Linked DNA regions of Yarrowia lipolytica. The protein of the gene in region 2 purifies or fractionates together with the protein of the main gene of each other region. This does not show direct contact. Links are inferred from orthologs where the notes say so. Each region holds a gene or a part of one and is shown on either strand. Other genes may lie near its edges. The genes, in order: YALI1_F39128g and YALI1_F19478g.

What was found.
Region 1: the proteins of YALI1_F19478g (region 2) and YALI1_F39128g purify together in Saccharomyces cerevisiae (affinity purification with mass spectrometry, with the first as the bait; 3 studies listed by BioGRID). This does not show direct contact. The link is inferred for Yarrowia lipolytica from reciprocal best matches to the Saccharomyces cerevisiae genes PSE1 and DBP9.

What each region holds. Positions count from the first base shown.
Region 1 is NC_090775.1:3,911,458-3,922,391, forward strand, and holds YALI1_F39128g (uncharacterized protein), read left to right. Parts: upstream 1-1,383; coding exon 1,384-3,018; downstream 3,019-10,934. Other genes in the region: YALI1_F39108g (uncharacterized protein), read left to right, coding at 1-1,121; YALI1_F39159g (uncharacterized protein), read right to left, coding at 3,330-4,454; YALI1_F39164g (uncharacterized protein), read left to right, coding at 4,992-5,825; YALI1_F39176g (uncharacterized protein), read left to right, coding at 6,177-6,323, 6,420-6,527; YALI1_F39183g (uncharacterized protein), read left to right, coding at 6,894-7,046, 7,400-7,534; YALI1_F39199g (uncharacterized protein), read right to left, coding at 7,842-8,525; YALI1_F39236g (uncharacterized protein), read right to left, coding at 9,038-10,934.
Region 2 is NC_090775.1:1,939,917-1,953,092, reverse strand, and holds YALI1_F19478g (uncharacterized protein), read left to right. Parts: upstream 1-5,251; coding exon 5,252-8,395; downstream 8,396-13,176. Other genes in the region: YALI1_F19500g (uncharacterized protein), read right to left, coding at 238-3,087. UniProt on the Saccharomyces cerevisiae protein: Functions in nuclear protein import as nuclear transport receptor. Serves as receptor for classical and arginine/glycine-rich nuclear localization signals (cNLS and rg-NLS) in cargo substrates.

The DNA.
Region 1 (10,934 bases), about 2.0 Mb from region 2:
ACTACGATGAGGACGACTCTGAGGGGTCCGATGAGGAGGAGCAGGACGTGCTTACAGGCACTTCTCTGAGCGAGGTGCTTCAGCGAGTCACCCAGTACTCCAACAAGGAGTCCAAACTGCTTCGACACGGCGAAATAGAGGTTGCTCGACTTCAGGACGTTAACTTTGCTGCTCCTTCTCGAGCTGCCGTGGAGGGTCTCGCTTTCCACCCCACACATTCTCTGCTTCTGACTGGAGGTTTCGACAAGACTCTGCGACTATACCAGGTGGATGGCAAGAACAACCCTGTTGTCACCACGCTCTTCATGAGACATACTCCCTTTGCTCACGTGGCCTTCCACCCCGACGGCCAGAGAGTGTATGCTGGTGGCCGAAAGCAGAAGCATCTGTACATCTGGAATGCTGAGAGTGGAAAGGTGGAGCGAATGGCACATCTGTACGGCCATGGTGACAAGGTGCGATGTTTTGCGCAGTTCAAGCTCTCACCAGACGGAAAGTACCTTTGTGTAGTTGGAGTGGACGGCTGGCTGGCCATTCTGTCGGCTACCTCTGGACAGTGGATCGACGGCTGTAAGATTGAGGGCGACGTTGCCGACTTTGTGTGGGACGGTGGCTCCATTATTGCTGTCAACACCGCTGGACAGGTGTGGGAATACAACGTGGAAAGCCGTTCTTTCACAGCTACTTGGACCGACGAGGGAGGAGTTGGCATCACGGTGCTGGCTATCGGCGGCAAGGCTAACCAGTGGCTGGCTATCGGCTCCGAGTCCGGCTACGTCAACGTCTACAACCGACCCAAACTTGCATTGGAGATTGCTAAGGGCCAAAGCCCCTTTGTGCCCCAGAAACCCACTGCGGTTCTCTCTAACCTAACCACCCCCGTTTCGTCGCTAGTCTTCTCTCCCGACGGACAGATGCTTGCCATGGCCTCCGACCAGAAGCGAGACTCTCTCAAGCTGGTCCATGTTCCTTCGTTCACCGTGTTCAAGAACTGGCCCACTCAACATACTTCTGTGGGAGTTGTCACCAGCGTGGCCTTCTCCCCCAGCTGCGAGTACCTGACTGTAGGTGCCACCAACGGCAGAGTCCGAATGTTCCAGCTCGCCCACTACAAGCTTTAATAGTATAGATGCATATTAGAAGATGTTTATAAGAGAATCTGAGTAGAAGGGTAAGTGTATATACTGGGTCTAGTTGGGGAGCGACTGAGTACTTTTTACCTACATTTCGAAGTAATTTAGTAAACATTAGTTGCACAGTCCGTTTAAAAACTCTATCTAACTTAAGCTCATCTATCGAAATATTTTTGCCCGACATGTACCTTAAAATTATTCTGCCAAAAAGTATACCTACGCATTTCATACTCATACACCACTTACAAAAATGACTACCCCCGACCTGGAGGATAAGTCCTTCGACTCGTTCGGCCTTGATGACAGACTGTTGTCCGGCCTGGCTGCCTGCGACATGAAGCAGCCCACTCTCATTCAGAACACAACCATTCCTCTGGCTCTGGACAAGGGCGTGGATATCACAGCCAAGGCCGTCACTGGTAGTGGCAAGACGGTGGCCTACTTGCTGCCCATCTTCGAGCTGATGCTGAGAGCTGAGAAAGAGAAACGGGATATCCAGACTGCTCTGATTGTGGTTCCCACGCGAGAGTTGTGTGAGCAGGTGTCCAAGGTGATCACCAAGCTGACCCAATTTTGCCCCCATCTCAAGTCTCTCAACGTGACTCAGCAGCTCGGAGACGACGTTATTTCTTCTCTGTTGGAAGAGAAGCCCAGCATCATTGTCGGAACACCCTCGAGGCTGCTAAAATACGCCAAGGAGATGGACTGCTCCAAGGTCGGTTATCTGGTCATCGACGAGGCAGATCTGCTGCTATCCTACGGCTACAAGGAGGATCTTATCGAGCTGTCGGAGATGCTCCCCAAGACTAAGCATACCTTCATCATGTCTGCAACACTCAACAAGGAGTCCGATCTGATGAAGCAGCAGTTCTGCAGAAGCACTGTGGCTAGTGTTGCAGTCACCGCTGCTGAGGAGGAGAGAAAACTGCTGCAGTACTACGTCAAGTGCAGCGAGAGAGATAAGTTTCTGCTGGCCTACGTCATGTTTAAGCTGCAGCTGGTCAAGGGCAAGACCATTGTCTTTGTCAACGAGATTGATCGATGCTACCGATTGCGTCTGTTCCTGGAGCAGTTTGGAATCAAGGCCTGTGTTCTCAACTCCGAGCTGCCCATCGCCTCTCGTCTTCATATTGTGGAGCAGTTCAACAAGGGTGTTTTCAACTTGCTGATCTGTACCGACGAGGCCAACAAGCTGGCTGAGGCTAGTAAATCTGCATCCAAGCAGACCAAGGAGGTGTCCAGAGCCCATGAGTACTCTTCAACTCGAGGTCTTGATTTCATGAACGTGGCTTTTGTGCTCAACTTTGATCTGCCTCTTTCTAGCCGAGCATATGTCCACCGAGTGGGCCGAACTGCTAGAGCCAACAAGGCCGGTACCGCACTGTCTTTTGTTGTGCCTGCCGACCAATGGGGCAAGGATAAGGTGGCCAAGCTGGATACTGCTAAGCGAGATGAGAAGGTGCTCAAGAAGATCATCAAGAACCAGGAGTCACAGAACATGGAAATCAAGCCCTATTCGTTCGACATGAAGCAGGTGGAGGGCTTCCGATACCGAATGGACGACGCTTTCCGAGCCGTCACAACCGTGGGTGTTCGAGAGGCCCGAGTCAAGGAGATCAAGACCGAGTTGCTCAACTCCGAGCGCCTGGCTCGACATTTCGACGAAAACCCCGACGATCTGAAGGCTCTTCGACACGACAAGGAGCTCCACACATCCAAGGTCCAAGCACACATGAAGCGGGTGCCCGACTACTTGTTGGGACGAAAGGGTAAGCTGGATCCTAATGTGTTTGTGCCATTCAGAAAGGATGATAACAAAATCCACAAGAAGTATACCAAGAAGAAGAAGGGCGGCGATCCCCTCAAGTTCAAGAAGCGAAAATAGATGATATAGAATGGAAATGACAGATTACATGGTATTGAAATAGCGGGTGTCTGCTACAAGTAAGCGGTGTGTTTTCAAGACTACAGTACACATACTGTACATAGATATATGCTGGTGTTGGTTCTGTAAGTGAGTTGTGTTATAGTCACTTGTACCAGTAGTAAAAACTTGTGGTACAGTATGTATGTATATACAGTATATTCTAAGCTATTCTATATTTGTATTGGTACGCTACTGTACATGGGTAGGTCCGGTCCAATTCTTCGTATCCTCAATTAATATCCGTTATTAAATTATGTTGTGCTTTATTCCTACTTGGAAACACTTCTAACCCAGTATTCACTGGCACCCTCCTCTCTCATCTTAATATACTGACGAGACAACAGCAGGCCGACTTGGTACAGTTCTCGTTCCACGGCCTGCTTCTTGGTTTCCAGGTCAGCCAGATTCTGGGTCAGATTCGTCGACCTGCCTCCAGTGTTGGCAGAGAAGTTTTTGTATGTCGTGGTCGGCCCCATCTTCTTGATGAGATCAATCTCCACTGTGATTGCACGTGACAACTCAAACAGCTTGTCCGACTGCTGTTGCAGCTGGGCCACTCGGTCTGCCCGTGATGCGTGCGACTCCCTTGAGCTAATCGATGCACTGTCCGAGGCGGCTCGTGGCTTCTCAGCTGCAATGCCTCCATGTCCTTCCTTCTTGCTCTTGACCGTCTGTCTTACCAAAGCGTCAAACTGTCGCTCGATCTCCACCTCCTTCATCTTGATACGAGCATATACTCCGGAGGGCCCCGAGTTGTTGTTGGGTTTCACCTTTGCCCGTGGGTCGTGCGTCTGTGGTCGAGGAGCCACCGTGGGCTGTTGTGGCCGGTGACCGAGACCATGTCCTATGCCTGCATTCTTGTGGAAAATGCCCCGGGTGCCTGTACTAGGTGGAGCCAGTCTAGCTACTGTGGCAACGCACACCTCGGCTGAGGTGTCTGGCGAGTCTAGAGACACATCTCCGTCTTCCTCGGCGTCCTCGAAGCGGTCCAGGTCTGAGTCTCGAAGTGTAGATGTGGAGGAGGAGTTCTGTAAACTCTTGTTATGCTGTGTAGTTGGTGCAGCCCGTTGTTGGGCATGTGTTGTTGTCGTGGTCTGATGATGTGTGTTGAAAGGGACAGGGCTTCCAGAAGGCTGTCTGGGCTGGTTCAGCTTCTTCTCTGGAGTCGACGTGCCCCCGGCGGCATGCAAAACGTCTTCGGGGATGCAATAGCTCTCGCTGGCGACGGTGTTGAGCGTGGAGGACGAGTAGTTTGGCACCGCTCTCATGAAAGCTCTTCGGCGCTGTTCCGACATGACAAAGGACTCATCACGGGTCATTTCGTAGTGCGACGTGTCGTCGGCGCCAATAACGAGGGCGGCTCCCACGGTTTGGGCCATTGGTCGTGATGGCATCTTGGTTGGGGTTTACGTCTCGTCTCTTCAATCTGCTTGTGATGATTGACACTCTCACTGTTTTGGATTCAGAGCGCGAAACGCGCCTTTAGGTTTCAAATGCGATGAACAGAGTTGGTTCCCCTACCTTGAATCGCTGGGTGTTAAAACCAAGTCGTATAAACCACCCTGGCAGGTGTTGAGAGAAGAATAGGTGAGACTCGTATGTAGTATGGGAGAGAGAGCTCAAGAGGCATTATATCATATAGCAGGTCTGGCACTTGACCTGCAGCATCGCATCCTGCAGGAATCCATCACCTGGGTCTTAGATTATTATTCTCCTTCCCATGCAATGTTGTGGTTGTATTTTGAAATGTTATTCTGAGACTTCTGTCATACCCTTTTGAGAAGTCGGGGTTGGGGTAGCCCAGAACTTGCCCAGAACCTGAATAGCCATTTGGGTCACGCGCCAAGTGCAGCAGTCATGCACTAACGTTTAGTTCCTAAAATTTCAAGTGCGTTTTTCAGGCGCAAAAAATAAACTGACCAAGCTCTATAATGCAGCGACTATTGAAAAAGGCACTGAAAAACAGCGCAGCGGGCGAGGCTGGAGCACCACTGGAGCGCACCGACACCCGCTCCTCGCACGAAACGCTCTTTGACGACAACAAGTCCGCGGTCTCCACGCTGTTTGAAACCCCTGAAGGCGACCCGCGAGAACGGGATGTCTACAGCATATACTCGGCCATGTTTCGACATGGAGTGACCGTTTTTGACGATGGCCTCAAAAAACCCATTCTGTCTGTGTCCACGCATTTCTTCGGCAAGACCTACATGGAGATTTACCGGCTGGACGATAAGCAGAGCCCAGGTAGCGAGGCTGTGTCAATGTCTGGAACCGAGTGCTACAAGTCGCTTCTGTGCAGTGTGACACAAAAGGTACTTGACAACGACCGTATCGAGTACATTCTCACCTTTGTGGACAGCGAGCGGGACAACATCACCATGGTTACCCATGGAACCAGGCGGGTGACTACAGCTTCTTACGAAGGCGTGCAGTTGCAATGGTACGGAACGACGGGCATTGCCAACACTTATGGCTCTGGATTCTTTCATCTGCGGCTTGTTGACACCGAACATACTGAGAGACAGGGTAATGTGCTGCCAGACTCAGACACCCTCTGTGGTCCTTGCATAGGAGCCTACAGTTATCTGACTGAGGGCAGACTGAAGAAGCAGCGCCGGGTTGGCGAGTTTAGCATTTTCAATGGTGGCACTCATCTTTCCGAGGTCATCCTACTCATGGGACTGGTTCTGCGAGAGGGAGAGATGCGAAAGATAACGGAAAGTACACGAGCTGCCAATGCTGTCACCAGCAAGGTGTTTTTGTAAACTGAGTGATGAAAACGGCATGGTTGAAACAATAGTTTGGTAGCTACCGTGATGAGCTCCGTCTCTTGCGACAACCAGGATAGCAGCTTGGGCGGGAAAAAGAAGAAGAATGTGGATTGTGGTGGCTTTGAGTGCCTTCCGCCGATAATGTGAAACGAATTTTTATTATTAATGAGTAAGACAGACAGACTAATATATCTGAATACTATGGTTGGTTGCCTAGGGTTGTGTGGATGGTCGTTCCCGTTCAGCTCATGGCCGAATCAGGTATACTCGCTTACATAATCATTTTGGGTTGCATACAGGCATCTCGGTGAAGCATGATTTTCGACTTTACACTCGACCGTCACAATGAACTCCTTTGCCCCGGAATGCACTAAAGCCAAGAAGGAGTACGACAACTGCTTCAACAACTGGTACTCGGAGAAGTTCCTCAAGGGAGAGTCCATGGAGAACGAGTGTGCCGATCTGTGGCACGAGTACGAGGATTGCGTCAAGGTGAGTAGGGAGAGGGAGAGGGCAGCCTGGAGATGAATTAGGATCGATTCAGGAGATCGGTACCCGGCGTACCACTCACAGTATTTACTAACCCAGGCCGCTCTTGCCAAGAAGGGTGTTGGAAAGATGATTGACGAGGCTCGAAAGCAGGCTCCGTTTGAGAACGGCGGCAAGCTCGTGGAGGAGGATGAAAAGAAGAAGTAAATGTATATATTAATTGAACGATTCTGCTGGCCAAGATGTGAAAAAACGAGTTTCTCACTTGTATCAAGTCTGTGTTAGTCAGGCTTTTCTCTGTAAGTGTGCAAGGGTGTCTGTGAGTTACGGGTGAATTTTTTTAAAATCTAGTAAAAGGATGAAGTTCGACAGATTTTATAGGGAAATCTAAACACTTTCTAACGATTTATAAAAAGTCCTCTCGCCGCAAGAAGTCATCGGCCACCTTCCAGTACCCCAAACACACCTGTGTAAGTCACTGCAAGAAAACCTCGCCACGTGACAAACAAGGTTTTGCAAAATCGTCGGTTGGAATATCAGACTCTATCACCACACATACACGACCATACAAAAATGCTGTCTCTGATTCAGTCGCTACGGCCGACTGTGGCCATGAACAACGTGGCGCAGATGTTTGTGCGAAACACTTGCAAGTCCGCCCATGTCAAGACCAAAAAGGCCGTTGCCAACCGAATCAAGATCTGTGGTAGTGGAAAGATCACCAGAGTGAGTGCCACAAGGATGGAGAGGAGGGGAAATAAGGAAAAAGGAATGCTGGGAGCGACTCCGATCAAGCCATGATAGAGTGGATAGCTGATATTTCAGTGCCGGAAAAGTTTTGCCTCTGATCTGATCATGGCCTTATGTTACACAGCTTTCAAGCTGAGATGATTAACTGTTTCAGCAGCTAGAAGAGATACCAGACACGGAACTACCTGTCACAACCAGGCTGATTACGCACACTGCGTTTTTTTTGTTTTTTTTGTTGCTTACCAGGCACTCAGATCAAGCAAGACACTCATAACCTCTTGTAGCTGAACACATCAACAATGACAACTTCCAGATCGCCACTAACTCAGGGAAAAACCGGACGAAAGCACGGAAACACTGGATGGTCCGCTGCTCTGCTGCGAAAGAAGACCGGTATGACCGAGCTCACCGGTTTCCAGAAGAAGCATGTCAAGAAGTACGTGCCTTTCAAACAATCCCCTTAATGTATATAGCAATTAGAACCCTCTTGGATGCACGAGAAGTCTGTACAGTACAGACGGATACAAGTTCGTAGTGCACGTACCGAGCTGTTTAAATTAATTGATGTATTTTTCTGTATAAGATGTAATCATTGCATACTCTGCAAATAATAAATAGGGCGCGCGGGGTTTAGATCACGGTTTTGATGGGACAGCTAGGCCGTGGGTAGGTACAGCACTTGTACTCAGGCCGTGGTGGAGACGCGGTACTGCGAAAGTACCAGCGATATGAATGTCGTAAGTATCATACTACAATTGTAGCAGAGGGGGGTTACTGGCCAAGCAACAACCAACCAATAAAATAGACACCATAACCCATCATTTCAACAGCATCCACAGGGTTAAGGCTGGACAGACCAGAGTCCCACTCAATGGCAGACTCACGAGGAGCATACTCTTGTCGATCTGAAGAGGGCTCGTTGGCCAAAAGACCGACATTTTTTTCAGGCACAAAAGGCTTGAGCTCCTCGCCAGTCAACCAATAATGGAGTCGATCTCCAAATGCTGAGGCGTTGGACTCGCGGTTGCACTGTTCAATCACGCTTGTCACTAATTGTTGTTTGTCGGCGTCACAGATATCGAGCATTTGTGTTTCTTGAGAGTGTTTTCTGATTACAGCGGACCCAGGGGCGCTTTTTTGATTATATATAGCCTTACAGCCTTTCAGAGACTTTCGTCGCCATGCAACAAAGACAGGACCAGTAAGGTTGTTGAGTGCACGTGACCTCGGGTCCACGAACGTCATGGGGCAAAACAAGACTATTGCAACATAATTATAAGGGGTAGATGCAGCTTGCGAGTTCCCCTCCTGCTTGCTACGTGCCAGTGCAACCTCTGGCGTGTTATTCTTCCACATTTGCTCTTTGTGGCGACCAGTAGCGTGTAATAAACATTCTGGGGTAACTGTAAGCGCTGATATGGAAATGTACGATACGATAGGGTATGTAGGGTCCATGTAGGGTCTTACAGATAGCTTCAACAAGTACTCGTACCAGGCGCGATACTGCAATAACAGTGGATATTTCTCAACAAATCTACTGTAGGTGACACACACACTCACGTCTGCGTCTCCACATGACAAGCATCACTGTTAATCTATGTTCCACTTGATTATGGCTTTTGCCACCAGGTCTTGTTGGGTCATGTCTTGTGTACTTTTAGCTCTCCATATAATAAATATATTGGGGTAATCCTCAAGGTGGAGAATGTGGGGTGCCTGAATACATGGAGTGAAAAGTCGTGTGACCAGTTGTCGTTGGCAAGATGATAAGATCGGTGATGAGTCCGAGCACTTAATTGCGCGGTAGTGTATTGTTCTACAAGTAGCACAACATGTCATACTACGATTACTACAGCCTCACTCCACACTACATAACGTACAGTACTGTACTTGTACCCGTGCCATAGACTACAAACAATAACACCTCTGTAACTAAACATGCAATCTATACATTTTTGGGTCTCTATTTACTCTTGCTTTTCAGCCTCGTTCACCTGCTCCTCGACATTTTCATCGCTCTCCTTGACTCGCTTACCGTCCTTATAACTGTATCCAACCCACTCATTGCCCTCCTTTTTGATCTCCGCCGTGGGGAAGTAGTGGTAGTTCATCTTCATGGAACACGCAAACGCCACGTTGTCAAACGTGACAATACGCAACTTGACGTAGGTATTGTCAGGGATCTTGGTCACCACAGACAGGAACGTCTCCAGATCAGGAGTGGCGGTGCCGTTCACGTGAGTGATGAAGTTGGTGGGCGCAATCAAGTACTGGTAAGCGGGAGATCCCTGGGCTCGACTGGACACGTAGACGCCCGAGTGGATCTTTTTGATTTGCTGACGAACAGCATGGTGGGGGGTCTGCAGAACAGCTCCGCACCAGAAGACGGCCTGAGAGGTCTCGAAAGCCGAATCCGTGGTGGGAGCCTGGATCTCCTCCTCCTTTTTGTTTCGCACCAGCTTGATGGTCACCTGCTCCTTGTCGCCGGCCTCGCTGAGCGTTGTCAGGGTCGTCAGCAGCTTGCCGTTGATGGACAGCAGAATGTCTCCCTCTTTGAGCGCCTGGGAGTTGCCATTGATGGGTGTAGCGGTTCGAATGACCTCAAACAGCTGGTGTCGCTGCGAGTTGTCCTGCTCAACGGCAGCAATCCACTCGGGAGACACGCCTCGGATTCGAGCCTGGATCATGGACACAGAGGCGATCTCAACGTCCAGGAACCGCTCCTGGGGAGGCTTTCCGGCTCGGATTCGCTGCACGGTCTCCAGGAAGGTGCTGGTGTCGATTCCGAGTCGGTACTCGTGCTGACGGCCCTCGGTTCGCTCGCCCATGCAGGACAGCCAGAAGGCTCGCACAACACCAGTCTTGGGATCAGCAAGAACACCGGCAGTGCAGCCATTGGGAATGGTGGAGTCCACGGTGATGGCGTCCAGGTTGAGAGCTCGGTAGTAGGGCTCTCCGGCATTGGGAGGGATGGTGATGGCGGTCACATCGGACACCTTGGTTCGGGTGGTCACCAATCGAAGAGACAGGTTATGGCCCATGAACAGCACAGGGTCTCCCTGCTTCAGGGGAGTGGAAGAGAGCTTGGCGGTCTCAATATCGGCATGCACCAGCTTGGGGTCGTACTGCAGAATGGCATAGTTCTGCAGAGGGTGCATGAAGACGACGGTTCCAGGGACAACCACGGACTCGGCGAAGGTCACGGACACGTTACAAAGATCGTAGGGGATGATAGATCGAGACACGAGCACCAGACCCTTCTCGGCATCGACCACGAGACCATGTGACTGTCGCATGGTTCGGGGGAAGCCGTCAATCTTGTAGGGGATCATACAAGAGACCCGAACGAAAGATCGGGACAAAGGTGCACACGCAGCATCAGCCTCCTCCAGATTGGGATCTGTGAAGGTGGCTCGCTGGGGCACAATTTCGTCCTTCTTGGGTACAGGGTACTGTTTACTGAGATCGGTGAAGTCCCACTTGCCGGTGGTGTCGTTTCGCACCGCCAGACGGAAGCTAGAGTGCCACTTCCGGTCAATGTAGGTGATGGTGAAGTTGGTGGTGTGTAGGTCTCTCAGATGTCTGTATCGGATCGAAACTCGTCGGCCGTCGGGAATAGCGGCAATTACTTTGATAAAGGTATCAAGATCGGGAGTGTCGATATCATCGATAGAATCGACCACCCAGCCCTTGGACTCATTACCCTGTCCGTCAAGTCGGAATGAGCCTCCAACCTCAGACACGTAGACGCCGCGCACAGGAATTGCGTAGATTCGAGCCAGCTGGTATGACAGGTCCTGGAAGCTGGCACCGCAAACCTCAACGTATCGATCGGGGGTGATGGAGTGCAAGTCCTGAACATAA
Region 2 (13,176 bases):
ACTGTACACCTACATACTGAAAGTATTCACATACAATACGAACCTGTATATACTATACCCAAGCCATGAGATACAGGCTGACATGAGAGATTACCGAAAAGGTATGGATAATTAATTTTTAATTACAAACCACAAGACAGAAAAAACATCCTAAGCCAATGGCCATTTATTCGCGACGTTCATATGTTACAGAAAAAGACACGTGTGAAAACAGCAATGAATTTAAAACTAATCTAGCTACTCATCATCATCTTCATCATCGTCGTCATCCTCGCCATCCGAATCCTTACCCTGATCATCTTGAGGTTTCTTTCGTCTCTGAAAGTCTGCCGTATGCGCTTTCTGCACCATGTTTGAGATTGCCTCCATAACTGGAGTGGCAGTTGCTCTGAGAGAAGGGGTATTACCCTCTTCAACATGCGAACCTCGCTTCCGTAGAGGTGAATCCGTGACACGAGACTTCCGAGGAGAGTCACGCGACACCCCAGGCGATTCCCGTGCCCATTCGACACCAGTGGATGACCCCATTCGGTCACGTGCTTCATCTTCATCCTCATCATCTGCCTGGTGTCCCTCTTCCACTGCAGTCTCGTCCGTCTCACCAGGCTCAGCACAGACGTGCACATGGTATGGCAGAGGTACATCACGAGATGCTCGGAAACGCTTGACGTTACTCACATGCTCGTTCTCCATTCTGAAAAACATCCACATGACTCGTCGGAATATCTCTGACAGAGCAACGAAGAAAGAGAGTAGTTGCTTCTGTTGGATCTGCTGCTCAAAAATGGCGTACCAAATCCAGTTGAATCGGAGCACCAGATCTACCACCATAGCAGTATAATATGGCCACTTGACCTTGTAGGTCAGCTGGTTTCGGAGCAAGAAGTTCTTACTCCCAAACTCCAGCAAGCTCCAATCCATCATGATATCCCAAATGAAACAGTAAGTAGAGTTAACAGTAGCAAAGAAGATAAAAAATGCTCGATTTCCGTTGGTTGTGTCAATTCGCCAAACACTCTGGGCCACATAATACATGATCGTAAGAGAGTACTTCGTCATGTTTGCCAAATGTGGGAAAGCATCTCCTGTGTCTGCGAAACGTCTCAGACATTGTAGCCAACGGAAGATACCCGGGAGAGCATTAAAAAAACCCATCAAACGGTTGTGAGACGAGCCGCAATGGCTAGGATTATATATCCCATGGAACCCTTCTGACCATTCGTGGCTATAGAGACAGAAGAACAGAGCAATGTTAGACATGGAGTAGGTCATAGAGCAGATGATATCTCCCAAGAAAAAATCTCTGAATTCAACGGGGTAGAGTCCAGAGAGAAGGATTCGAGATAGCGCTCTGATGAGCCACTGTCTAGCGCTCCAATAAAAGATGTTTAGAGGCATGAAAAACGTCACAACCGCAAAAACTAGAAAGATGCACGGGTAATAGACGGCCCTGAATGAAGACTCCCAGAACGAGTAAAACGTCAGCCACGCGAATATACTCATGAAGAAGAAATAGAAGGCTGGCATCTCAAAGAATTGCCGATAATCTAAGTGGTCCTGTGAGAACTCGAAAATGAAGGTGTAGTTGATTTTGTACTTGTTCCATACCAAGCAACAAAGGGGGAACAGAAGGAGGAACAAAAGGATAAGGAAAAACCCTGCCCAAATCTGCAGCAGGTATTGGGTGTCCGGAGACTTGTGCTCCACCAAGTTCAGACAGCCTCGATAAAGGCCTTCAATGAAGAATGGGATTGCTAAGCCAAAGAAGATACCACCACGGAAAGTCGCAAAATAGTATGTTTTGTTGACGCCAGTAGACCGTAGCTTTGAAATAGCGTGTTTCCGGTTTCCGCGCTCAAAGTTGTTGGTGTATAGGTCCTCCACCTTAGCGGCCACAATGTCAAGCCGCGAGTTTTCCACATTGCAGAAGTCCGTGTGGTCCACGAGATCCATGTAATAAGCACTCATGTGCCGCCCAGAAATCTTATCGTATTTCTTCAGAATCTTGCGGAAGGCAGTCCGGTTGAGTGTGCAATACGAACGCAAAAGCTCGATACTTCGGTAATACTCCTGCATTGCTGTCTTCAGCTGACGTCGGGCTGACGCGTATGAGATTCCCTCATGGTCAGTAGTGGCATCGTGGAAGTGCGGGTTTTGTCCACGCAGTGCACTCTCGCTGCTCGCACGAGTGTTTTCGGCATCGAGGTCGCACACATCGTTCGAGTCACTCTTTTTCAACCAAGCAAAGCTTGGGAGACTTGGAAGCTCAATTTGACGTTCCACCACACTCAGACCCTCACGTGCAGGCTTATTTGGACGCTGTCGAAGATGCAGCTTCTGTCGCTGCAGCCTCACAAGCTGTCCCACCAGAATTCTGTATCGCTCGTGGGTCTCGTTCATTTTCTGATCGTAGAATTCATTCACTTTATCCAGCTGGGAGTCCAACCAGGCAATGAAGTCCTTTTCACTGTCGTACGGTGCGATCACTGAGAACGAATTGTCCATGACGGAATAATTAGTGTTGACCTCCGGCGTGATTTTGGGTGTTCCAATGTGAAACTTGGCCTTAACAGAGTCTGCTCTACCAGACGAGGACTTTCCGCGGGTGATGATACCTCGATGAGGTGCCATTTCAGGTGTAGTACCGCCCTCGAGTGCAGCCGGGGGAAGCTTCACTGAATCTCCACCCGATGTCGATATCTTGGATAGCAGAATAGGTGTCGGGTGACCCGACTGACCTCTAGAAAGGCGTTCCCTGGACATGTATGATGGACTCAGATTTGGATCATGGGAAGCCACCCCACCACTCTGAGGATCGTGCCTCTCGTGATCCTCCACACTGCCCTCGCGGGACTCAGTAGCCCCGTAGTTGTCGTTTTCCGAACCAGAATTGAAAGGTTCTGTCTCTGAGGGCTCTCCAAGTAATGCGCCTGGCGTTATTCCTGTATTAGGAGAAGTAGCGGCAGGCCGCCGCTGGCGCAACAGTTTTTGGGGATATGCTCGCTTCTCCGGCAGTCTGATCCACAAGTACAGCCTGCTGCTGGGCTGCAATGTTCTGAGGTTCGCTGGGTGCATCGATCTCATCATTGAAGGTATTGTGACGCTTGAGTCTGTCCTTTAAGTCGTCAGGAATCTTCTTGAGTAGTTTCTTTCCCCATTTATAGTCGACATATTGCGATTTCCACTCGGGGACCTGATACTCCGCCAAAAGCTCGGTGAATTTCATAGTAGTCCGTGGGGTTTGGCAGACGAAGTCAATGCGTAACTGTCAAAAGCCTTTGGCCCGTTTCAAGTGTTTGTCTTCCGTTTATCGTCGGTGATGTGATAAAGGCTGAGAATTCATATGGACTAATCGACCATATGTGAGATAGATAGAAGTTTATTTACAATAACCTATCGACTTGGAGTGGGCTCGAGTCACAAAAGGGATACCCTGAGTTAGGTTTACAGTAATTAGTATCGTACTCGTATGTATAGGACTACTCCGCACGAGTACAAGAATCAGATTATATTTACCAGAGGAGATTCAACGGGGCAAGAGAAAATATAATTGGAGGGAGCCCTTGAGGAGAGGTAATATAAATAGTGCTACCCGGTACCAATCAGAAAGCGTGTGATGCTCATTCACTCATAACTACAAGTAGGTGCTCTTTGTACAGAAAGTCTAAAATTCTAGGTGTGATGAATGGGTTGGTTCACGTATGAAGCAGCCCCGGTTTTGCGTGCGAATACTTTTCACCTGTGCCTAAGCATGTAAAGTACATGCAGCTTATGATTTGTTTACCTGACTCTGAATCACACAACAAACGAAGGAGTAATCAGTTCTCACAGATTCTGGTAAAGCTCTCATGAAATCGTACATATGCATTACTTGTACAAGTAAAACTACAGTACACAGCAGTACAGTACAGTACATACAGTATGTACTTGTAGTCCTCTTTGAGCCTTGTCCATGGATACTCGTATGGTTTGGTACTTGTACGATACCAGAGCAGGCTGAAGGTGTACATAAAGCTGCAAGATATCCATACTTCCCCCAAACAACGGCTAGGAAGCAATAGCACCAACGTGGTCGTATATATAGGGCTACACCATTCATGCCTTTCAGCCCGCGAATAGTTCACTGTTTTTCCAAACCTTAAACATCGTGGAAATTGCGGTTACACGATTGGCTGTGATCGCACCTGTAGCCCACATTATAACATTTGTTTGTGCGATGAGAGGGAATACACTTGAGCGTTAGGACCACTTAACTGGTACTACTCTGCCGGCCACAATTATATTAAAAATCCAGGAAGAAGGTGACACAGAAACCTCCTCACCGCAACAAATAATAGTTACATTAATTATCAAACTGTGTTTTTGGGACATGAACGGATGAGAAAAACTACTTGTACAATATACTACAAGTACTGTACTGGGTTGGGGTGTCAACCGCAAACCCATTGCAACTGTGACGATTATATTGAAGCCTGAGGGTGACACACAGTGAATACTTGCACAGTACTTTTTAATACGGTTGCGAATGTACTGTATGTATCGTACAGTAGGAGCAATAATGAAAAGACTACAGAGTACACATACATACATACTCTAGAGTGTGATCATTACAACGGTTGGTAAATTGTGAAGTTATATGCTGTACCTAAAAGTAAATTACTTGTACAAGTAGCTAAAATACAGTACACGTAGATTTACATATGATACTTGATATCAACATTATAAGATGCCTCCTTCGCGTTCCGCGAAACTGAGTGTGTCGTTCCTTCGTGCAAAAGGGTGAGCCTCGGATACGAGTCCAAAACATCAAATGTCACATGACCTATTCAACGTAATATGCAGTACAAATTTTAAGCTTTGCGAGGTTGGGACATGTAACCAAAGCTTTTTTTTATCTGTTCTGCATTTTTGCCTTGACAACACTTGATTCAGGGGATTTTTTGGTACACGAAACCGACCAGACAACAAAAAAAAAAGTGAGTATCTCGAAGCAGATGGGCAAAAGAAACGGATGAACGGCATTCAGTTTCACACGGGTAGACTTCCATGTGAATAACTTGACCTCAACTGTTTCGCCTCTTTCTCAGGCCACGTTGCCCTGCGAGCCTTTACTAACTAAGTGTCTGTACCGGACGAGGTCATCTCGTCTCTGAAACAACTTCTCGTCAACCTCGGATCTCCGTCATCTGAGGTGCGAGTACCCGCAGAAAAAACTCTACGTGATGAGTGGTGTCGACCTCAGCAGGTAGGCATGCTGCTGGTCGGTCTGGCCCAGCTGGCTGCTACTGATTCCGACAAGACTGTACGTTCTTTTGCCGCTATTCTGTTCCGTCGAATGGCTCTTAAATCGCCTGAGGACGTCAAGAACGTGGTCACCCGAACTGTCGACACTGTCCAACCCGAGGTGCGAAGCATGTGCAGAAACATTCTATTGGGAGGCTTTACGCAAGAGACCGACAACTCCACTCGACACAAGCTGTGTGACGCGATGGCGGAGCTCGTGGAGGACGAAAATACCCAGGGCTCGTGGCCTCAGCTGGTCCAGACTCTGTTTGAGGGAACTCAGGCTCCCTCTGGAGGTATTAGAGAATCTTGCTTCCGTCTGATCGCGACCGTGCCGACTGTTCTGAACGAGAACCAGGACATCAATGGTATCATCACGGTTTTCCAGCGAGGATTCGCTGACAGCGACCAGTCTGTCCAGGTCACCGCTGTTGGAGCTTTCACAAAATTCTTCGACCTCTTGCCCCAGCAAAAATGGGAGCAGCTCAACCCCCTTCTACACTCGTTACTCAATGTGTTGCCTCCTCTGGCTGTACCTGATCAGGGGTTGGAACTTACACAAACTCTTGAGCACTTGATGGAACTGGCGGGCCTTGCCCCTAAGATGTTCCTGCCCGTGTTTCCCGATCTTATTTCTTTCTGTGTTTCCATCATCGAGAACGCCGAGATGGATCTCAGTGCCCGACTGTCAGCTTTGGAGCTGTTGACAACTTTTGTTGATAAGGCTCCCCAGATGTGCAAGAACCAGAGCAACTACACTCCTCAGCTCGTTACATGCTGTCTCAAGCTCATGACCGAAATTGGTGAGGACGACGATGATGCGGCAGAATGGAACAACGCTACCGACATCAACGGTGATGCTGAGGAGGAGGAAGCAGATGTGCGAGCACGACAATCTCTTGATCGACTCGCTCTTAAGCTCCACGGAAATGTCATTCTCCCTCCCCTGTTTGAGTACGTTCCTCCAATGACTTCCGGTACCTGGAAGGAGAAGCACGCAGCCCTGATGGCTCTATCCTCTGTTGCAGAGGGTTGTGTTGATGTCATGATCAAGGAGCTTTCGCAGGTCTTGGACATGGTGTTGGGCCTACTGAACGATCCCCATCCCCGAGTTCAGTGGGCTGTCTGTAACACACTGGGCCAGATTTCTACAGACTTTGCACCCACCATCCAGAACGAGTACCATGCGCGAGTAGTTCCTGGGTTGATCAGCATTCTTCGGGGCAAGTTACCTCCTCGAGTCCAGACTCACGCCGCTGCAGCAATGGTTAACTTCGCCGAGAATGCCACAAAAGAGGTGTTGGAGCCTTACCTCGATGATCTGCTGAGCTCTCTCGTCACATTGCTCAACAGGCCCCAACGGTACCTCCAGGACCAGGTGCTGACCACTATTTCGACTATCGCTGAGTCTTCGTCTGAGAAGTTCTCAAAATACTACGATGAGCTCATGCCGCTGCTCCTCACTGTTCTGCGAACGCCTGCTACTGACGAAACACGAAATGTAAAGGCTAAGTCTATCGAGTGTTCTTCCCTCATTGCTGTGGCAGTTGGAAAGACCCAGTTCATCCCCTCCTCTATGGATCTCCTGAAATGCTACGTGGACATCCAGGGCGAGCTCGATGAGACTAACAACGAAGACGACCCTTGCCAGTCCCACTTGGTTCTAGCATGGAGCCGTATCTGCAAATTGCTTGGTCGTGACTTCATGCCCTTTTTGGATGTCGTAATGCCTCCTCTCCTGAGAGCTGCTTCCGCTAAACCTGATATCAATCTCATCGAGGACGAAGGAGAGGTCGATGCTGTGGCTCAGCAAGAAGGTTGGGATGTTATTACTCTCAAGGGAAAGCATCTCAGTATTCACACTGCTCCCCTAGACGACAAGGCACAGGCCATTGAGCTCATGGCTGGATACGCCCAAACTCTCAAGGACTCGTTTGCTCCTTATGTACACCAGATCCTGAACGAGATTCTGGCTCCTGGCATTGTCTTTTTCGTTCATGACGGTGTGCGTTACGCCTCTGCTTCTGCCATCGGCCCATGCCTGGAGGTGGCAAAGCAGGTCGCACCTGTAACCACTAACCACCAGAACATGCTCGCGGAGCTCTTCAGCCCTCTCTTCTCTAAGCTCATCGAGGCCATGCAGGTGGAGCCCATGGTTGATGTTCTCGGCAACTTCTACACTGCAATCTACCAAGCCGTGTCCATTCTAGGACCCAACTCTATGACACCTGGTCAGATGACCTCCCTCTGCAAAATCATCTGCAAGAATCTAGCTGATTATATCGAGCGTGTCAACGAGCGCAATGCCGATGACAATGACTACACCGAAGAGGACGATGACGGAGAGGAGGAGGAGCACGACGAGTATCTCATTGCTGAAATCAACAAGTGTCTGCATGAGGTTTTCAGACTGATGAAGGACCAGTTCAAGCCTTACTACGAGGCCGAGCTGGAACCTCTTGTCCAGCAGTTTCTTACTGGTGACGCTGACCAAATTCAGTTCTCTATTTGTGTGCTGTCAGATGTAGCCGAGTTCTGTCCCGAATCAGGCCCTTCTGTTCTGCAGACTATCGCACCCTTCATTCAGTCGGGCGACTCGAATGTTCGACAGGCTGCGTTGTACTGCGTCGGCTGTGCTGCGAAGTCCACCAGGGACTCCTTGCAGATGTTGGAGCCTCTGTTTGCTATTGCAAACAGTCCTGACGCCCGCGTGGATGAGAACATCTACCCTACGGAGCATGCCTGCTGCGCCATTGCCAAGATTCTCAAGCATCATGGATCTGAGCTCGGTGGACAGTCCAATGCGGCTTTGGACGCTTGGGTCAAGACACTACCCATTCTTTGTGACGAAGAAGTTGCCCCCTTTGCATACCGGTTCCTCGTGGAATTAATGCGGGCGAACCACAAGGCAATCAATGACAATGCTGTGCATGTGCTTGATTCTGTTGCCCAGACAGTTTTCAACTCTGTGGTACAGGGCGAGACTGCACGAGTCTTGGTCGACGCTACTAAGACTTGGCTGCAATCTCTGGGAGAGGACCAGGTTCAGCAAATGGTTCAGCAGATTGAGTCTGAACAGATTCAGTATGTTGTCAAAAGTTGGTTTGCATAGTTAATAGATATTGTATGATGATATACATGTAGCTAATTGTCCCGGAATTGTATCAGATATCGTACATAAGAGGTACCGGTTACATACGGTATTGTACTTCACTTGTAGTTGAACTCGCACATGCTGTACCTACGTCACGAATATGGGAACAACACTATGTATAGTAAAGTACATACTTGTGCGAGTTTCAGAGAACCGTATGTCATGGAATGTGATACATAGCTACAGTACATGTACAGTACCCATATCCTACACACTCGCGACGGTGCTACCAGATACGTACCTTTTGCTCCATTTGATCTATGTGGGGATAATTCTTCAGCCGTTCATTCCGGATATGCGGCTTCAGACTTTGGTCGCATGCTATCGGGCGTGCCACTGCGGGTGCTGTGACAAACAGCGTGGTTTCTTTTGTCGTCAGGTGGCTCATCTGTTATTCTGGATGTGCGATCGTCTACGATAACATTATACTATTGCCGAACACAGCTGAGGCCGGATAGTGGTTAAATATTTACATCACATAGTGGAGGACAGGCTTTTCAAACACATACAGGACGATAGCAAGCTACTCTTTTGCGCCTGCCCTACTCATACAAGCACTCTACATCGGTTATCGGTGTGCTTGCTCTCAGCAGTGCCGTGTTGATTCTTATGCCACGAAAAAGACCGGAAAGTTTCGGAATGGGTCGGCTCCTGAAAATGGATCTAACAGGAGTCTGTGTGGAGAAAAACAAGACGATGGGGAAAGCTTGTGAAAGACAATGACAACCCCACTTTTATCTCATCTGCATTGGACACTAACAGTCGAGGCTTAATAATAACACGGAGCGGTTGTACTTGGGACGATGGAGTTCACGGTCAATCGTATGGATAAGTCCTACTTGTAAGAATCAAATACATCTTATAACTCAAAAAAAATCTACTCAAAAATTTGCTGCTTCTTTGCTATTTCTAGCTTCTTAGTTTTTATCGGCTTGGTAATATTTGTTGCTTTGCTGATAACCTGTCTACAAATTCTTGTATATGTACGATACGAATATCAAAACTTTGAACTTGGTAATCACATGGTGAAGATAGCAAAAGCAAGCTTTGAATGATGGTGCGATCACGTTGTGCTTATTTCAGATAAAAGAGACAGTGTGATACGATTACTTCTGGTCTAAGTGGTAGTCCGAACCATCACCATTACTGTATAATGCCAGTAGCCGGGAAAAAAACTGATTGTACAATGCTCAATACCCTGCAGGAAGCTATACGTACATAGCCGTTGTGTACAAGACAAGCGGAGCAGATTATTCAAAACAAGCTTCTGATAATATAATCTTGTTTGAGAAGCATCAAGTTGAGACCACGACAGACTGCGATAACTTTTGGTTATTCTAAATTAGTGGCTGTCATGTGAAAAACCGAGGATGTTATCCCCAGACAGTACATCACTGGACCTTTTTGCCGGTCGAACTCATCACACTGGTGTCTTACTTCCACTCCCACATTCTGGAATATCACGTCACATCGCACATGCACCCCAGAAACCAAGGTGCATGTTGATGGCATCGTGCTCATACTAAGACCAATCGAAGAAGCAACATGGACAGATAAAGGTCTATCTATTGGTCAGACTTTGAGGGAGTGTCAACCGGTATCCAAGGGGCTTTCTCTGGTAAGAATTACTTTCATTCTGCTGCAAATAGCCGTTCTCCATATAATAAGAAAGCCCTCACTTTGTTAGTCCCCCTTCCAAACCTTCCGCACATGCATGCACCCGGATATCCGAACATCCGGGTGGTATATAAAACCAAGATGATCTCCCTCACTTGCTCTAAAAAAACAACACTGACATCTTCACTACTGGGAAGAGTCAAATTTTCTTGTCACACCACACAATCGCGAGTACACAACCGCAAGCACCCAAACACACAAACACACGCCACGTCGCTATGCCCATTACATTCTTGCCTCTCACCTCCCCTGTTGGAAAGCCTTACGTCCCTAAGCGTGATCACGTCCACCAGTCCAATGACGTTGCTTCCGAAGGGGCTTTTACTGCTGTGATTGATCCCAAATCAACACGATCTGACTCTGAAGCCTCCGATTTGAACGCGCCTACTCAGTTCCGGGCAAGAACCGAATCCAGCTGAACAGTGCTAAACATCTTGACTGATACTATAGATTATTTATTACCGATTTCACTTGTGTTGCACTACAGTACAGTCACATGGTAATACCAGTAATAGTAGACGTACTGGTTTTCAACTCACCTATATACACTACTTCTAAAAACGACCAATGCCCAGGGATGAGGCTGTACACGTTACATACTCTCCGCCATTGAAGCTACAAATGACCCAGTAACCTCGCTTGATACCCCCGGATAGTGCCATGTACTCGGCTTCAACACTTGAGAGAGCAATCAACTTCTGTTTTCTTGATCTCCAACATGTGGCGAGGAAGTTCACAGCATGACATGTCAACTATTACAGTAGCCTGGACTAGGTAACACAATTCTCCAATTCGCCATCAATAGATAGATGGAGGCAACGGTTGTTGGTTGGATTCTTACTTGATCCTTAGGGTCAGTGTTCAAAGTAATTACCCGGTAGGGTAGTATGTACTGTACATACCTGACTAATTCATCACATAATGATGAGAGGAACCAGCCTTGTTGTAGACGAGATGTCCATCCTGTAGATTTTATCCACTGATCTAGAATCCCTTTCTGGTGAATGAAGTAGCACACACCTTCTGGTGTGTGCTACTATTGGAACGTGGTATCCCTAGAAGTGGGTTGTAAGTCGTTACATTAACTATATCTAATCAATAATACTTATGATCTTCAATACAAAGGGCCCATGTATTATGTTATAAAAATAAAAAAGTGCCTTATTGAGTAACAGGTATGTTGAGTTCCGCTTGTATCAGTTTGATAGGGATCACCTTTTCAGTCCTGGAATGTGTTCAGTGTTGGAAGTCGCTATTATGTGACCTCAAGTCTCAAGTTTATATTAGCACGAACATTGATTGATTATGGGCACAACAGGGGGGGGAAAAAAAAAAGGGCAACAGTAGCGGTAGTCAGAGTGTCATTTAAATTATCTAAAAAAAACCAATTCAAAGAAAGACAAAAGTTGAAACGGATCATTGGAATAAAAACAAAACTAAAAAAAGTCATCTTTAAAAGAAGTTGATTTATTTAACGCCAATGATTGGACTTAGTAGGTATGATCATTATAATGGGAAAAAAAAACATATTATAGTTGAGACGCAGACAATCAACTTGCGCAGATATTTGAGACAACAATAACGGAGCACCTGAACGTGCAGAATCCGATCATCTGCACTGTCGACTACTTGCATTCATTAGTGTTCCAAGTTACTACTTGGAACACCCCCTTCTTACAATTTGTCCATGGAACACTTTTACCTCTAGTTATATTATTACCTTCACTTATCCTATCTACTGGGCCAAGTCGTAATACAGCAACATTATTATCAGGCAACTACCTTCGTCAACTAACTACATAAGGCAACGGCATTCCTCATACCTAGCGATTACAAAATTACGCGCGTGTAGACGATCTACATATTACTGAAAACAGTTACATACTACTAATCAGTCTAAGTGTACCCTCAATTCTTACTTTTTACTCTCACATTTATTGTATACACATAATATATATATATATAACATATATACATATAAATTAAAAAACCATCAATTCACTTACAGAAAAATTTTCCTAAATTGGTAATTTTTCTGAAGTGGTGTCACTACTTATTACCCTACTAAATTAAGAATGCATAAAATAAGAAATAAAAGATTTTATGTTTGGGTCAACAGCTATCTTCCCACTCGGCGACCATAATAATAAAAAAATCACAGAAGTCCACTGAGGACAATCAACATATTACAGGTAAGATTTTATAATAGTTACCAAATTAATATATAAAATGCGTAGATAATAGTACATATATTAGATATTTTATTTATCAATTGGACAACAACTTTTAATTATTTCTTGAATTGAAAACAGAATTTTTAATTTTATTATGTTGGATTTTTTAATTTCGTTTGAAACGTTTTTCTGGGTTTCTTTTTACAATATAAATAATGTTAATACCCTGTTGTTATTTTATATCATTAATTTACTTATTAAGGTCTTCGTATGAACTATTTTCCTAATTTGGAAACAAAAACTATAAGTTGAAGCTGTTATGAAACATTTATGTATTATATCTTATCCAAATTTCAATATTAGCATAATACACTTTTTGACATTATCGATTATAAAATATAAATTAATTGCGAACTTCTAGAAGATCAAATGGAGATGAAATTATCCCGAGATATATATACATATATTCATAATTTAACTATATTATTAAATTGTTCCGGTCAATAATCATATTGCTGGAGTATTTACTTTTGCTTTTATCGTGGTTATCCTCAAATTCACCTTTTATGTGTCAATTATATTACCAATTTGATTTTTCCACGCCTCTGTTATTTACGATTGTTCCGGTCTTTATATTATTGATGAAGGGTTCACTTTCGTATTATCGTTATATGTATCATGAAATCCCCTAGTTTAAAATAACAGATCGGTTTATTTTTAATTTTGTCTCTCTGAGTTCTGTTTTTGTTCTGTCATTTCTTTTTTTTTTTTTTTTTTTTTTTTTTATCCTGACCCAGCTGGTACATAATTACGACTTCAGTTTATCAGTAAGTACAGCCATCATGGATCGTCGCCTTCGCAATTCGCTCGCCCAGCTTTTGAACGCAA